Ovis aries: one gene and its partner. The protein of the gene in region 2 purifies or fractionates together with the protein of the main gene of each other region. This does not show direct contact. Links are inferred from orthologs where the notes say so. Each region holds a gene or a part of one and is shown on either strand. Other genes may lie near its edges.

The links. Proteins that work in one complex are often made in the same cells at the same time.
Region 1: the proteins of RAB4A (region 2) and GDI1 purify together in Homo sapiens (co-immunoprecipitation; 4 studies listed by BioGRID and IntAct, counting the BioPlex papers as one, with this or other methods). This does not show direct contact. The link is inferred for Ovis aries from reciprocal best matches to the Homo sapiens genes RAB4A and GDI1.

The regions. Positions count from the first base shown.
Region 1 is NC_056080.1:79,999,672-80,006,835, reverse strand, and holds the start of GDI1 (rab GDP dissociation inhibitor alpha), read left to right. Parts: upstream 1-2,851; coding exon 2,852-2,896; intron 2,897-3,968; coding exon 3,969-4,076; intron 4,077-4,244; coding exon 4,245-4,344; intron 4,345-4,492; coding exon 4,493-4,627; intron 4,628-5,074; coding exon 5,075-5,273; intron 5,274-5,538; coding exon 5,539-5,670; intron 5,671-6,216; coding exon 6,217-6,316; intron 6,317-6,669; coding exon 6,670-6,841; intron 6,842-7,152; coding exon 7,153-7,164. Other genes in the region: ATP6AP1 (V-type proton ATPase subunit S1), read left to right, coding at 1-158, 639-686, 774-1,005, 1,230-1,439. UniProt on the Homo sapiens protein: Regulates the GDP/GTP exchange reaction of most Rab proteins by inhibiting the dissociation of GDP from them, and the subsequent binding of GTP to them. Promotes the dissociation of GDP-bound Rab proteins from the membrane and inhibits their activation.
Region 2 is NC_056078.1:775,359-782,522, forward strand, and holds the start of RAB4A (ras-related protein Rab-4A), read left to right. Parts: upstream 1-2,982; coding exon 2,983-3,013; intron 3,014-7,164. UniProt on the Homo sapiens protein: The small GTPases Rab are key regulators of intracellular membrane trafficking, from the formation of transport vesicles to their fusion with membranes.

The DNA.
Region 1 (7,164 bases), on a different chromosome or scaffold from region 2:
GCCCCCGTGAGTTACAATGACACTGCCCCGCGGATCCTCTTCTGGGCCCAAAACTTCTCGGTGGCATACAGGGAGCACTGGGAGGACCTGACCTCCCGCACCTTTGGGGTCCAGGACCTCAACCTGACTGGCTCCTCCTGGAATGAGTCCATTGCCAGGTGAGGGCAAAGTGCGTGCCCCTGACTGGGTCTTTGTTTAGGGGCGTTCAGCGTGAGGACGCAGGTGGTGGTGTAGGGTGGGGCCGCTGCTCAGAGCTCTGCCTGTTCACGCCTTCTCATCCCTTAGCTGGGGCCTTGGTTGTTAACAGTTCCTAATCACCCTGGATCCTGGTGCCACCCTCTTGGGCAGCCTCATGGCCCAGCCTGAGCACTTTAAGCAACTCCAAGAGGGAGTCTGGGGGTTCAGGGAACCCAGAGGAAGGAGCCCTTTGCTGGAGGTGGGGTACCTGTGTGCTACCTGGTTCCTGACTTGGAAAGGGATGGGGCCTCAGGTCTCCTATCTGTCAAGCTAGGGTGCTGGTTCTTTAGGTGGCTCTGCAGGAGGATCTGGTACAGCTCAGGTAGAAGGAGACCTAAGGGCCTTGCTCGGAAATGTTTTCAAGGCCATTCCAGAGTCTGAAAACCCCTCTTCCTCCGCAGGCTGGTGCTGACCTATGACTCACTCTTTGGGACCATGGTGACGTTCAAGTGAGTCTGAGAGGCAGGGGTGGGTGGGCTGCTGTGGCTCCAGCCTTTCCAGCTGCCTGACCTCCCTCCGCGATGCTCCCCCCCCAGGTTCACTCTGGCTAACCGCTTCTACCGGGTATCTGCCCGGTACTGGTTTACCTTGGAGAACCTGGAAATCCATAGCAACGGTTCCGTCGCCTACTTCAATGCCTCCCAGGTCACGGGGCCCAGCATTTATTCCTTCCACTGCGAGCATGTCAGCAGTGAAAATGAGGATGGCAACCTCCTTGTGCCTGACACACAGCCCTCTCTTTGGCAGATGACTTTTCGGGACTTCCAGGTAGGAAGGGAGGAGGGACTGTGCCTGATAGTGGGGAAGCCGTGGCTGGAGGAGGGGTTCGAGGGGAGCAGAGGCCTGCGAAGGGTCTCTGGGTCCTTTCAGGTTTGGGCCTGGGAGTGTAGGGGAGTCCCGTACCCTTGCTGCTCTCTTCCCACCAGCTGGGGAACCCCCAGCCCTTACTGGGCTTCTCTGGGTGGGGCCACTCAGTGCTTTCTGTCCCTCAGATCCAGGCCTTCAATGTGACAGGCGAGCAGTTCTCCTATGCTAGCGACTGTGCAGGCTTCTTCTCCCCGGGTATCTGGATGGGGTTGCTCACCTCCTTGTTCATGCTGTTCATCTTCACCTATGGTCTGCACATGATCCTCAGCCTCAAGACAATGGACCGCTTCGACGACCACAAGGGCCCCACCATCACTTTGACCCAGATCGTGTGATTCCACACCTGTAGGGGCGGGGGATGGGGGGGGGGATTGAGGGCGTGCCTGAGGTCCAGGTTGTCACCTTCCCATCAGAGGCCCACTGGGCAGGAAGGCTTCTCCCTCTTCCGCCATTGCACGACTCCCTGGCTCCCCCTAGCTTGTCAGGCTACCTGTTCAGCCTGCTGAGGGTCTTCCCTAGGCTGCCCACTCCCCACCACATCTCTCTCCACAAGGTGTATATATTTCTGCATAGACAGTAGACAGATCTCCCAGGCTTGATCATTATAAAGGTAGGGGCCATCAGTTCTACAAAATCCACCCCCCTTCTCCTTATTTATTCTGATTTCTCCACCTTCGCTGCTTGCTGTTGATAGTGCTTTTGTGTAGCCAGTCCTCTCTTCCCAGGCTCTATGGGGTTCCTTGTAGCAGCCAGGAGCTGTTCCATTCCCTGAGTTTGGGGGGGAGTGTGGAAGTACTATTTGTCTGTCCCGCTTAGCTGGCGTTATTATTTTATTTTTTGGTGATGTGCTAACAATAAGACGTACACTGGGGTTTATTCCTTTGGCCTAAGAAGGAAGGGATCTACATGGCAGGTGGGATGGGTGTGATCACGGGGTTTGGGACCTGTTCCTGTCGGGAGTACCTGGCAGGAGCCCTGGGGTGCTCGTGGTTTCCTTCCGAATAAAATAAAGACGGGTCGCCATGCTTGGGCTTCTTGTCACTCATTTCTGCGCTGGGCACAAGGAAGGGAGGATGCACTTGGCTGACGGCCGAGAGAGGAGGCCCGAGGATGGAGGGATGGAGGCTGCTTTTCCAGGGACCAAGCGGAGGCCGAGAGGGTTGTTTGCTAGCTGGGTTTCCCCCGGCCCCCGCCTCAGCGACTAGGGGAGGGCGGGGGCCGTCAGCGCCCGGGAGAGGGAGGCGGGGGAGACGGCCACGACAATAGTCGCCCCCACGTCCCTAGGGGCCCGCCTCGGGCTGCTGCAGCAGCGCGCGCCCAGCCGGCGGGGCCGCGCCGAGCTTCCCGGGGCGGGGCGCGCGCGGCTCCTGCGCACGGATCCCTGGCGGACCTCAGCACCGTCTGCCAGGCCGCGCCGCCCCGCCCCGCCCCGCCCCGCCCCGCCCCGCCCCGCCTCACCGCCCTCTTTTCTAGGCCCTCGGCAAAGCGGCGCGGCCCGCCGAGTGGCGCGAGTGCTAGAGCCCGGGCTCCAGCAACCCTCCCCGGGAGGCAAGCGGGGACAGCAGGGGCCCCCGGTCGGCGCGGCGGCGGAGGGGAGGGGCCGGGACTCTTTGACGTGGCGGAGGGGTTGAGCGGCACGGTTGAGCCGCCATCTTTGGTCCACTGCGGCGGCGGCGGCGGCTGCGGCGGCGGCGGCGGCTGTGGCGGAGGAGGAGGAGCCGACGGGCGCTGACACCGAGGCCTGACCATGGACGAGGAATACGATGTGATCGTGCTGGGAACCGGACTCACCGTAAGTGCGGCCGCCGGTGTCCAGGGCGCCGCCTGTCCTCCTCCCTGGGATGCTGCAGCCCCCGGCCCCATCCTCCCATCAGTGCCTGCGCGGCGCTGTTCGGTCCCCGAAAAGATAGCCCCGTCCCCAACCACCGTGACGCGGCCTCCATCCCTGTCATGGCCGGTCTGCCAAGAAGCGGCCCCTTTTCTGGCTGTCTCTCTTGACCGATTCCCCGGGCCCGACCCCCAGCCCCTACCCAGGACCAACTTAACATCCCTTCTCATTTTGCGCTCATTCTGACGGGGATGTCGTGGTACAGGGACCTCCAGTCAGATCGGGGCGGGGGGACTTCCCAGGGTGGGCTTTCATCCTGCCTTCCCAGGTTCTTAGGGGGCCCGAGGACCCAGGGAATGTTCCAGAAGGAGCCGTGGTGGGGACCGTGACCACATTCCCACTACCCCACCCCGGTTTCCCATGGAGACCTCGGGGCTGAGGCGCATTTGCAGCCTTTGTCCTTGGGCTGGTGACAGTGACTGGTGAGGTTGTTTGCCCTCCCCCGAACCCTGTTGGACTGCTGCCCTGAGAGATGCCTCCCCAACAGTCGGGTGTGGAAGCCCCTACTGTGACGGGGAAAGCTCAGGGTCAGGGGTTCCTCTTTGAGGAAAGTGGCCCAGGGTGGGGCCTGGGATTTCGGCACCATGCTAAGCCTTTACTTCCTTTTCGGGTCCTTTGCTTGTCCAGCTAGGCGATCCCTGTGTTTTATTTGCCTTTTTGTGGGCTTCTACGTCGATAGATGATTTTCTTGGCATCTTGGTTGCTTGAAGACCATCCATGTGTCTGCTGGATACCCTCTTCCTTGTTCACCTTTTTGCCCAGCAAGGTTTTAAAAGGAAACCATGGTCAAATGAAGGTGTCCCCCCCCCCCCCCAATTTCAGGCAGAGCGACCAGCCACAGGTGCAAGGAGCTGTGTGTTGAGGCAGAGGCCCTTCAGGTTGACTCTCCCCTCAGGGTTGGAGTGGGGAACATGGTCAGGGCTGCTTGTGGGAATGTGGGCAGATGGGAGTGCAGTGAACATTGCCCCTCACTCAGGAATGTATCCTGTCGGGTATCATGTCTGTGAACGGGAAGAAGGTGCTGCACATGGACCGGAACCCCTACTATGGGGGTGAGAGCTCCTCCATCACCCCCCTGGAGGAGGTAGGCTGCTCTGGGCCCAGGCCTGTCCCTCGTTAACCTCTTGCATGGGGTGCTGAATGAAGCAGCTCCCCAGGTTTTCTGGGTGGGGGGCGGGGGCAGGGGCGGGAGTGGGAGGGGGTTCCTTGAGATGCATCTTTCTGTCTCTCTTTTCCCTTCTGCTGCCTGCAGCTGTATAAGCGTTTTCAGTTGCTGGAGGGGCCCCCTGAGACAATGGGCCGGGGCCGAGACTGGAACGTTGACTTGATCCCCAAATTCCTCATGGCCAATGGTGAGGGAGACGGAGGAGGTATTGTGGGAGGCGGGGTGATTGGGACGAGCAGAGAAGGGTCAGACTGCAGACCAGGGACAGACAGACCAGCTTGAGCTTGTGAAGGGAGCCATGCTGACTGTGTTGCCTTTCCCACACCGCCCTGCAGGGCAGCTTGTGAAGATGCTACTGTATACAGAGGTGACACGCTACCTGGACTTCAAGGTGGTGGAGGGCAGCTTTGTCTACAAGGGGGGCAAGATCTACAAAGTACCATCTACCGAGACTGAAGCCTTGGCTTCCAGTGAGTGTGGGTCCCATGAGCCAGGGAATCGGGGTGGGGGAAGGGGGGATAGCTATCAAGAGCAGGATGGCCCTTGCTGCAGGCCATGTTTCTTGTGCAGTACCAAAAGCCCCTTGCTCTATCATCCCCCTGTGTGCACCCACTGGTTGCCAGGAGAGGTGTCCAAGTGCGAAGGGAATATGGTGTCCTGGACAGAGGCTTCACCTGATCAGTGAAACATCCCCAAGTGTCAGAGCTGGGAATGCTCTCAGAGGCTGTCCAGCCAGACTCACTCTTGGTACAGTTGAGAAAACAGGCCAATGAGCACAGAGGGGTTAATTGAAAATCACACAGTGGTCAGCAAGAGAACTCTGCTGGGAGTTAGGGCACCGGCTTGCTCTGCCTGCCTGGCAGGTGGAGAGGGTCACGGCCCGTACCTCAGTGGTGCTTTGCATGTGGCCCTCACAGACCTGATGGGCATGTTTGAGAAACGGCGCTTCCGCAAGTTCCTGGTGTTCGTGGCAAACTTTGATGAGAACGACCCCAAGACCTTTGAGGGTGTCGACCCCCAGAACACCAGCATGCGTGACGTCTACCGGAAGTTCGACTTGGGGCAGGATGTCATTGACTTCACTGGCCATGCCCTAGCGCTCTACCGCACTGATGAGTGAGGGGAAACTGGCATGGCAGATGACCCTTCAGCCGGCCCACACCCTGCCCTCCCACTCCTGCCTGCTGCTCCCTTGGCTCACCCTGCCTACCTCCCATACTCAGCTCCGGGCTCACTCACCTGTCGCCTTTTCTGTCCCTTCCTTGTGTTTGACCAATGGTCTTTCCCAGGCCTGCAAGGGTGGGAAGGCTGGCCTGATGCCAGGGTGGGGGTGCACTGGGCCTTCTGCTCTTGGAGCCTCTTCTGACCCTATTTCTCCCAGCTACCTGGACCAGCCATGTCTCGAGACCATCAACCGCATCAAGTTGTACAGCGAATCCCTGGCTCGGTATGGAAAGAGCCCGTATCTGTACCCACTCTATGGCCTTGGCGAGCTGCCCCAAGGCTTTGCAAGGTGAGGGCGTGGCTTCTGTCGATTGGCAGTGGAGAAGGCTGAGGCCCACAATGGAAAGGGCCCCCTTGGGCATCTCCACTGTGTTTTGTTACTTTCTCACTGTGGGCTTAGTTTACTTCCCACCATCCTCGGGTGATAGCAGCCTAGTGGGGCATTGTAGTGCGGAGATGAAGGATCACAGATAGGGCTCGCTTGGCTCCTGGCTGGAGTCAGATGGCACGAGGACTGGGCCTGTGGCCTTGAAACCTCCGGTCAGATTCATCAGAGCCATTCATTCTGTTCCCTGGGATGTTTCCCTGAGGAGCTGCCCTCATACTAGCCCTTAGCTGGAAATTTCTGGCAGTAAGTCTAGAGAGGAGGGACCCCTCCAGGTTCAGTCTTGAGGTCCTGGCAGCAACAAAGCTTGGAAGAGCCCCCAGGTCTCCTGAGCTCTGCCTGCCTGAGGCCACCTTCTCCATGCCCTGCACTGCTGGGGGCAGGGCGTGTAGTAGTGCTGGTCCCCATGTCTCCCAGGAGGCACTCTCATGGTTCCTCTCCCCACTGTAGATTGAGTGCCATCTATGGGGGGACGTACATGCTGAACAAACCAGTGGACGACATCATCATGGAGAATGGCAAGGTGGTGGGCGTGAAGTCCGAGGGCGAGGTGAGCCTTCCTGCTGCACAGGCACGCTGGGCTGGGCTGGGCTCAGCCCATCCTTTGAGACACTCTTCCTGGTCACCCTAGCTCTGCTGGGGCTCCTACAGCTTGGCCGGGCGCCTCAGCCCCGGGGACCGGGGCTCCAGAGGAAGACGGTAGTCACTGCTGTCAGCAGACAGCTGTGGATGAGGGCCCACCTTCCCGAGGTGCGGGAGGAGAATGTACGCTGTGGGAGGGGTGATGGTGACAGCTCTGGGGAGTGGCCCGTCTACCAGAGCTGCCAGCCCTCCTTGGGCGTCCTGGCCTTCAGACATCGAGGGGGGGTCGGATAGGGCCAACGCCTTCTGGTGCTTTCACAGGTGGCCCGCTGCAAGCAGCTGATCTGTGACCCCAGCTATGTTCCTGACCGTGTGCGGAAGGCCGGCCAGGTTATCCGTATCATCTGCATCCTCAGCCATCCAATCAAGAACACCAACGATGCCAACTCCTGCCAAATCATCATCCCCCAGAACCAGGTCAACAGGAAGTCAGGTAGGCCAAGCCCCACACAACTTCCTCCAGTGTGTTCTCTTCTTTGGGGTAGCCCTGTCTCGCTGCCCCTCCCCGCCCCCTGCCCAGCGCGGGGGCTGGCTCTCTGCTCGATCCCTCCATGGAAGAGCAGGGATCCACATCACGGTCCCCATGCCTTGAGGCCCTAGGGAGGGATGCTTCCTTTCCACGAGGGCGGCTTCTGGGATGTGGCCAGCTCTGCAGGGCTGGGGAGGGGCAGGAGGGCCTGTGTTGAGCTTGGCCCCCAGAAGCCCCCCACGTGCCCCTGCTAATGGAGCTTTTCTTGTGGGCAGACATCTACGTGT
Region 2 (7,164 bases):
TAGCTCTAATCAGAGTGAGACTACTATACTCAGGAGTGTAGATCAAACCTAACCTGAAGAAAGCAAAAATGTGTTCCAGCTACTGAACCAGGGATACATACAAAACAATCCTAGAGAATTACAGTTCCTACCACATTGCCTCTTGAGAAACCTGTATGCAGTTCAGGAAGCAACAGTTAGAACTGGACATGGAACAACAGACTGGTTCCAAATAGGAAAAGGAGTACGTCAAGGCTGTCTATTGTCATCCTGCTTATTTAACTTATATGCAGAGTACATCATGAGAAACACTGGGCTGGAAGAAGCACAAGCTGGAATCAAGACTACTGGGAGAGATATCAATAACCTCAGATGTGCAGATGATACCACCCTTATGGCAGAAAGTGAAGAGGAACTAAAAAGTCTCTTGATGAAAGTGAAAGAGGAGAGTGAAAAAGTTGGCTTAAAGTTCAACATGCAGAAAACTAAGATCATGGCATCCGGTCCCATCACTTCATGGCAAATAGATGGGGAAACAGTGTCAGATTTTATTTTGGGGGGCTTCAAAATCACTGCAGATGGTGATTGCAGCAATGAAATTAAGATGCTTACTCCTTGGAAGCAAAGTTATGACCAAGCTAGATAGCATATTCAAAAGCAGAGACATTACTTTGCCAGCAAAGATCCAACTACTCAAGGCTATGGTTTTTCCAGTAGTCATGTATAGATAGATGTGAGAACTGGACTATGAGGAAAGCTGAGCGCCAAAGAACTGATGCTTTTGAACTGTGGTATTGGAGAAGACTCTTGAGAGTCCCTTGGACTGCAAGGAGATCCAACCAGTCCATTCTGAAGGAGATCAGCCCTGGGATTTCTTTGGAAGGACTAATGCTAAAGCTGAAACTCCAGTACTTTGGCCACCTCATGCGAAGAGTTGACTCATCTGGAAAAGACTTTGATGCTGGGAGGGATTAGGGGGAGGAGGAGAAGGGAATGACAGAGGATGAGATGGCTGGATGGCATCACTGGCTCAATGGAGGTGAGTTTGAGTGAACTCCGGGAGTTGGTGATGGACAGGGAGGCCTGGCGTGCTGCTACTCATGGGGTCACAAAAAGGCTGACATGACTGAGTGACTGAACTGAACCGAACCACATTCCCCAGCGGATAGGGGTCGTGGGGAGGACTCCTCTGTGATGTAGAAGCAGAGTATCTCTTTCCTAGGAGAATCAGAGAGCGGAACCATGTAGAGCCAGAGAGCCGCTGGGGAGGAGAGGGATGACCGTAGGGAAGGACCGATGCCAGTTTGGAGGACAGACTCAAATGGACTTGAATAAAATGTATTTTCTGGCATTACCCTCACCATCCAAGTCACTTGGGAGCTTAGCCAGGGCATACCTTCAGTATTCTACTGTGTGTTTTGAACAAGGTTGAGTCTTATACCATACCACGTGGTCCTTATCATGCTCCAATGGAGCAAAATTCCCCAAAATCTCTTCCTGTTTATCACTACATTGACAACAGAAGGGGATCCTGAATTCAGCTGTGCTCTTTACATCAAAATATTCAACCAACGACTCCTACCCGTAGAAAATGCACCCGCGGCTGAGCGCCGAGAGATGCTTCCTGTCCAAAGCCACATTCCCCTAAAGTGGAGTGCGGAGGGGCGACGACTACAGTTTTCTAGGGACTCTTCGGCACAGGTACATCCTGAGATTTTGTCAGCTTTCCCCAGACGCCAGCTCAGCCCCACCGGCGAGGCCCCCGCGGGTCAGGAGTGAAAGCTCCATCCCCGGCAGGTCAGCCTGCCTCCCAGCCGGCAGCGCTGGCCTCCCGCTGGACACCTGCGGCCGCCGCCGCCTAGTTACACATTCACCCCGACCCGGGTTGATCATTGCAGCTCAGAGGAAGTCCTTCGTTGGCCGAGTGCCCCAGATGACGACGGCCACGTCTTTGCGGAGGCGGCCCACCTGGCAAAGGGCGGCCTGCCTCTCCGAGGCGGGCACTCAGCCTCCTCTGTGCGGGAGCGGACCGTGATGCTCAGCCCCGGACACCCCCAGCCCCTCCCGGTCACCTCCGGGCCTGCGGGCCGCCGACGGCTCCCCACCCCTGCAGCCACCGCAGGGGCCGCCCGCCCCCGCGCGCCCCGCCCCGGCTCCGCTGCGCCCCGCCCCGGCTCCGCTGCGCCCCGCCCCGGCTCCGCTGCGCCCCGCCCCGGCTCCGCTGCGCCCCGCCCCGGCTCCGCTGCGCCCCGCCCCGGCTCCGCTGCGCCCCGCCCCGGCTCCGCTGCGCCCCGCCCCGGCTCCGCTGCGCCCCACGGCCGGCCCCGCCCCAGCCGGCCCGCGCGCGCCCCCCAGCGAGCGCCGGGTCTCCGCCCCTCCCCTCCCCGCCGCCCCGCCCCTCCCCTCCCGGCCGCCCCGCCCCTCCCCTCCCCTCCCCGCCGCCCCTCCCCTCCCCTCCCCGACGCCCCGCCCCTCCCCTCCCCGCCGCCCCTCCCCTCCCCTTCCCTCCCCGCGCGCCCCCAGCGAGCGCCGGGTCCCCGCCCCTCCCCTCCCCGACGCCCCGCCCCTCCCCTCCCCGCCGCCCCTCCCCTCCCCTCCCGGCCGCCTCTCCCCTCCCCTCCCCTCCCGGCCGCCCCTCCCTCCCCTCCCCTCCCGGCCGCCCCTCCCCTCCCCTCCCCGCCGCCCCTCCCCTCCCCTCCCCTCCCGGCCGCCCCTCCCCTCCCCTCCCCACCGCCCCTCCCCTCCCCTCCCGGCCGCCCCTCCCCTCCCCTCCCCTCCGCGCCCGGACAGCGGGGCGGGGCCGTGCGCCTGCGCGGAGCCCGCAGTCCGGCGGGGCCGCAGCAGCTGGGGGCCGGCAGTTGCCGCGGGGACCGCGGGCCCCTCCCTCCTCCGCTTCGCTGCCCCTCGCGTTCCCCACCGAGGCGCGGCCGACTCCCCGGCCTCCCTGCCGCCGGCCCGGCGGAGCCGCAGCGGCGCCCCGCGAGAGGCGGAGCCGCTCCCAAGATGTCGCAGACGGCCATGTCCGAGACCTACGGTACGGGGCGGGGGGCGCGGGCCGGGGCCGGGGGCGTGGGGACCGGGATCCCAGTGCTGGGGCGCGGCCGCCCGAGGGTAGCCCGGCTATGTGATCTGCTTCTCCGAGGGTCTGCCTGCTGCTTCTCCGCGTACTTGCCGGTAGGGTTTCCGTTTCTTGGTCTGATGTTAGTTCAGGGTTTAGGGAAGCCCATTAGAGACTGCGATGCTGTCCCCAGCGAGGGATGTGAAGGACTTGGGACGACGCCTGCAGTTGAGTGTGTTCTTCGACTCTTCCACTTTGACCTTTCCTTGCTTGAAATTCCTTCCTTTGCACGCAAATTACAAGGACTTATGGACAGGCATTTCTTCCTTCCGAGACCTTTCAAGCTGTATGGTGGCTGTTTATAAATGTATCTTTGCAAGACTATAAACACCTCGGAAGCAGAGCCTGTTCTGCTTGATCTTTGCTTCTTCTGTAGCACTCACACCCGAAGGCAGCCAGCAGACATTTTTTTTTTTAAATAAACGAAAGCCTTCCCAATTCATAATCTGTGTGTTTTTGTCCTGCGTGGTAAAAATAAACAATAGAGTACATCTCTGCTTTGTATCAAGGTTTACTAGTGTTTACCAGTCTGGAGTCACTCTGAGATTGGGCATTCTCAGATTAAGTCTGATTTTGATTTTACAGCCCCAGGGAGGGGCTCGAGTTCAAAAACATTACCTCTAGTCAAATTCGTCATGTCTTCTTCCGTGTGCCCTGGCGTGCTGCCCCTTTCTGTCAGCAGATAGGTGTGGACCGGCTTTACGGGCTGGTGTGGTTTCCAACAGTGCAAGGTACCCTCCTGCACTGTTCTGGTCTTGGCAAGCTAGTCCATTGGGGGATACAGTGTTAATCCACTTATGATACTAGTGAATATTAAAAAAAAAAAAAACCCAGGCTGGAGTTCTGAAGGAATATGGTCTCTGAAGGTATGTTAAAAAGAAATGTGACTCAGACCTGAGGCACGGAGGCATTAACTGGTCTACAAGTGCCCAGGCCCTGAGGGATCCAGGATGCCTGTAAGAGGACTGTGGCTGAGGCCCCTCAAGCACCCAGGCATTTGCTCCACCTTCAGCCACTCCTGTGCCTGGTACCTGCCTTGTTCTTGGTAACACTGGGAGCAAGACAGCTATTCCTAGAAGGTTTAGGGAGTCGGAAACCACACCCCTGGCTTGTAAGGATCAGTGTTGTCAGAGCTTCTAATGTTACTGTACTTGCCACATCCACGTGGTCTGCCTCTCTATAGAGAACCATAGTCAGATTTCCTAAAAAAAAAAAAAAAAAATCCATTTCTCCAGCAAGTGTTGGTTATGCTTTTGCTTTTTCTTTATTTTTCAAGTGCTCCTTTCCCCACGCTTTTTTTTCCCTCTCTGACCTGGAGAAGGAGCACATGGGAGCAGTGGAAAGTCCAAGTAAGAAACCAAGTGGGGTTACGAGTTAGGAGGAGGACTGAAAGATGGAGCTTTTATGTTTCATCTGTCTCATGTGAAACATGCATGCTAAATTGCTTCAGTCGTGTCTGACTCTTTGTGACCCAATGGACTGTAGCCTGCCAGGCTCCTCTGTCCATGGGATTCTTGAGGCAAGAATTTTGGAGTGGATTGCCATTTCCTCTGAAGTGGAGACACCATATTTTGTATGAAATGATAACCTTGATAAAAGATGGTGTCTCCATTTCAGACAGAGCTCATCGAGCATCACAGGTCAACTGATCAAATTCTGTTCATCAGGCTTTGACCTTTATTCCTCTTCTTTCATGGTGGCTTCCAAATATGTTTTTAGTTTTTACTAATTGTAGTCCTTCCCTCTAATAGAAGAAATTAAGTGAAACACATAGAAATTTAGTTTTAGCAAGAGCAGTGTGGCACTTCACAGTGCTAACCCAAAATAAAAGTCACCCCAAACCAAGCAATCACCTTCACTTATCATTGGTAGATTTGCATAGCATTGTTTCCCAGATGGAAAACAGTTTCCCTCCTTTCAGACGTTTGCCTGTTAGGTAGATGGTAAAGGAATGTTTTCCTAATCTTTAAACTCCTTAGTACTCTGTGCTCACTTTCTCTCTTCTGGAAAAGGAATCTCTGTAGTTGGCCAGGGATATGATGAAAAACGAAGAACTATTGCTTACCAGTATACTGTTAATGAGTACACGTTCATGAGCTGTGTCCGCATGCCTTTTAGCTTCTTAAGGCAGTGTTTCACCTTCCAGTGACTGGTGTTCAACATTTTGCTGCTCCAGAAACACCAACCACATGAATACCATACCTTATGTAATACTTTATGTAATATTGCAATACAACATTGAAATCTCAAACATACCGGTTTCTGACTGAAAGCTCCGGCTGATTATCCCTAAACAGTGCTTCACAAATACCGTTAAATTCACAGCATTCTTAAAGGCCTGGCCAGTTGATGTGGCTTGGGACTTCCCAAGGAGATCGATTGGCTGATCACAGATTGGCTTTAGGTGATTTCTGATACCAAGATTTGTGAGACAAAAACTCACAAATCAAATATTAATATCAAGCAGTGATGTTCAGAAAGGAGCTAAAAAGTATAAGTGGTATAGAAGATGCTAGAAATTAAAAAAAAAAAAAAAGATTTAAGGGCTGGGGCAGTTTGAGAATGAGGAAAAAAATCTAAGCCAAATCTCTATACACACTGTAATTTATGCATTCTACCATGACAATTTATGAAGCAAGAACACAAATTGTTGGTCCTGTACTAGCTTTATTACAATGGACTCTTAATATTTTTATTTTGTGCTTTAGTTCGAAAATATTACAGTATTTACCATATAATTTTGAGAATTATCAGGATATTTTCTTTTTAAAATGTGTGATTGTATGCTGCTGTGGGTTGAATTGTATCCCCCAAAAGGTATGTTCAGGTCCTAAGCGCAGGCACCCTGTGACTGTGACCTTGTTTGGAAACAGGGTCTTTACAGGTGTAATTAGGTTCAGATGAGGTCATGTCGGGTTAGGGTGAGCTCTCATGCATTGGAGTTCTTGTAAGATGAGAGGAATTTGGATGTGGACTCACGCAGGAAGGAATGTGGTTTGAAGAACTACAAGCCCAGGACCGCCAAGAGTGGCCAGCAGCCACCAGAAGCTAGGAAGAGGCAAGGAGGGAGCCCTTCCCTGGAGTCCTCAGAGAGGCTGACGGGCAACTTGACTTTGGACTTCTAGCCTAAAACTATGAAGACTACGAAATAAGCGATCCAGTTTGTGGTATTTTGTTATAGCAGCCACAGGAAATCGATACATAATAGTCAAAATATGATTCAAGGAGAAATTTAGTCTTGATAAGGCAAAGTGGAGTAAGCAGAATATTCTAGGCACAGGACATATGTCTTCAAATTCACCTTGGTTCCAGTGAAGTATGAGATAACTTGCTGTTAGGGAGATCACTTAATTGCCATTACTGTATTTTGTTAGGGCATATAAAAAATGTCAACAGAGGAAGCATGTGACCTCAGAATAAAGGACATTTCCCTAAAGTGGATGAATTTGTCATTTTAAGTGTTTGTATTTTTGTCACCATGGAAAATTGGTGAACAAAGACCAGAATTTGGGGAACACTGCCGCTGTGGTTCTCAACTGCACGTGCCACAGCCCACTGGTGTGTTTAAGATGCAAATTCTGGTTTTGCATATTCACTTCTGCACCTGCCCAGCTCCCTGGCCATGCAGGTGCTGTTGGTCTAAAGACCACAATTGCATTATCAAGGCGCTATGTGTGGTGCCTCCAGGCCATGGAATTTTGAAAACATTGGTCTTTGAGAAATCAAAAGTTTATGAGAATTTTTCATGGTCATTTGAACTGCGAGGCACTCCAGTCTTTGCCTGTTACTTGCCTTTCTCTGAAGTCTCCTAAATATTTCTAGCCACATCAGTCCTTCAAGCTAAATACCTTTGTTTTCAACTTCCTACCTACTTCTTCCATGTGGATGGGCTAGGGGTAGCCTGGCCTACGTCCCAAATCCAGCTGATTACTCATTGCTATTCCGCAGACTCTTGTTTTCCCCATTTGCCTAGGAGGTAATCTTTGCTCTGAATGTCTTTTGGAATAAGAAGGAAGCTGGAGTTTCTTTGTTTTTTTTCCTTTTCTCTTAAACCATCCTCTAGAAAT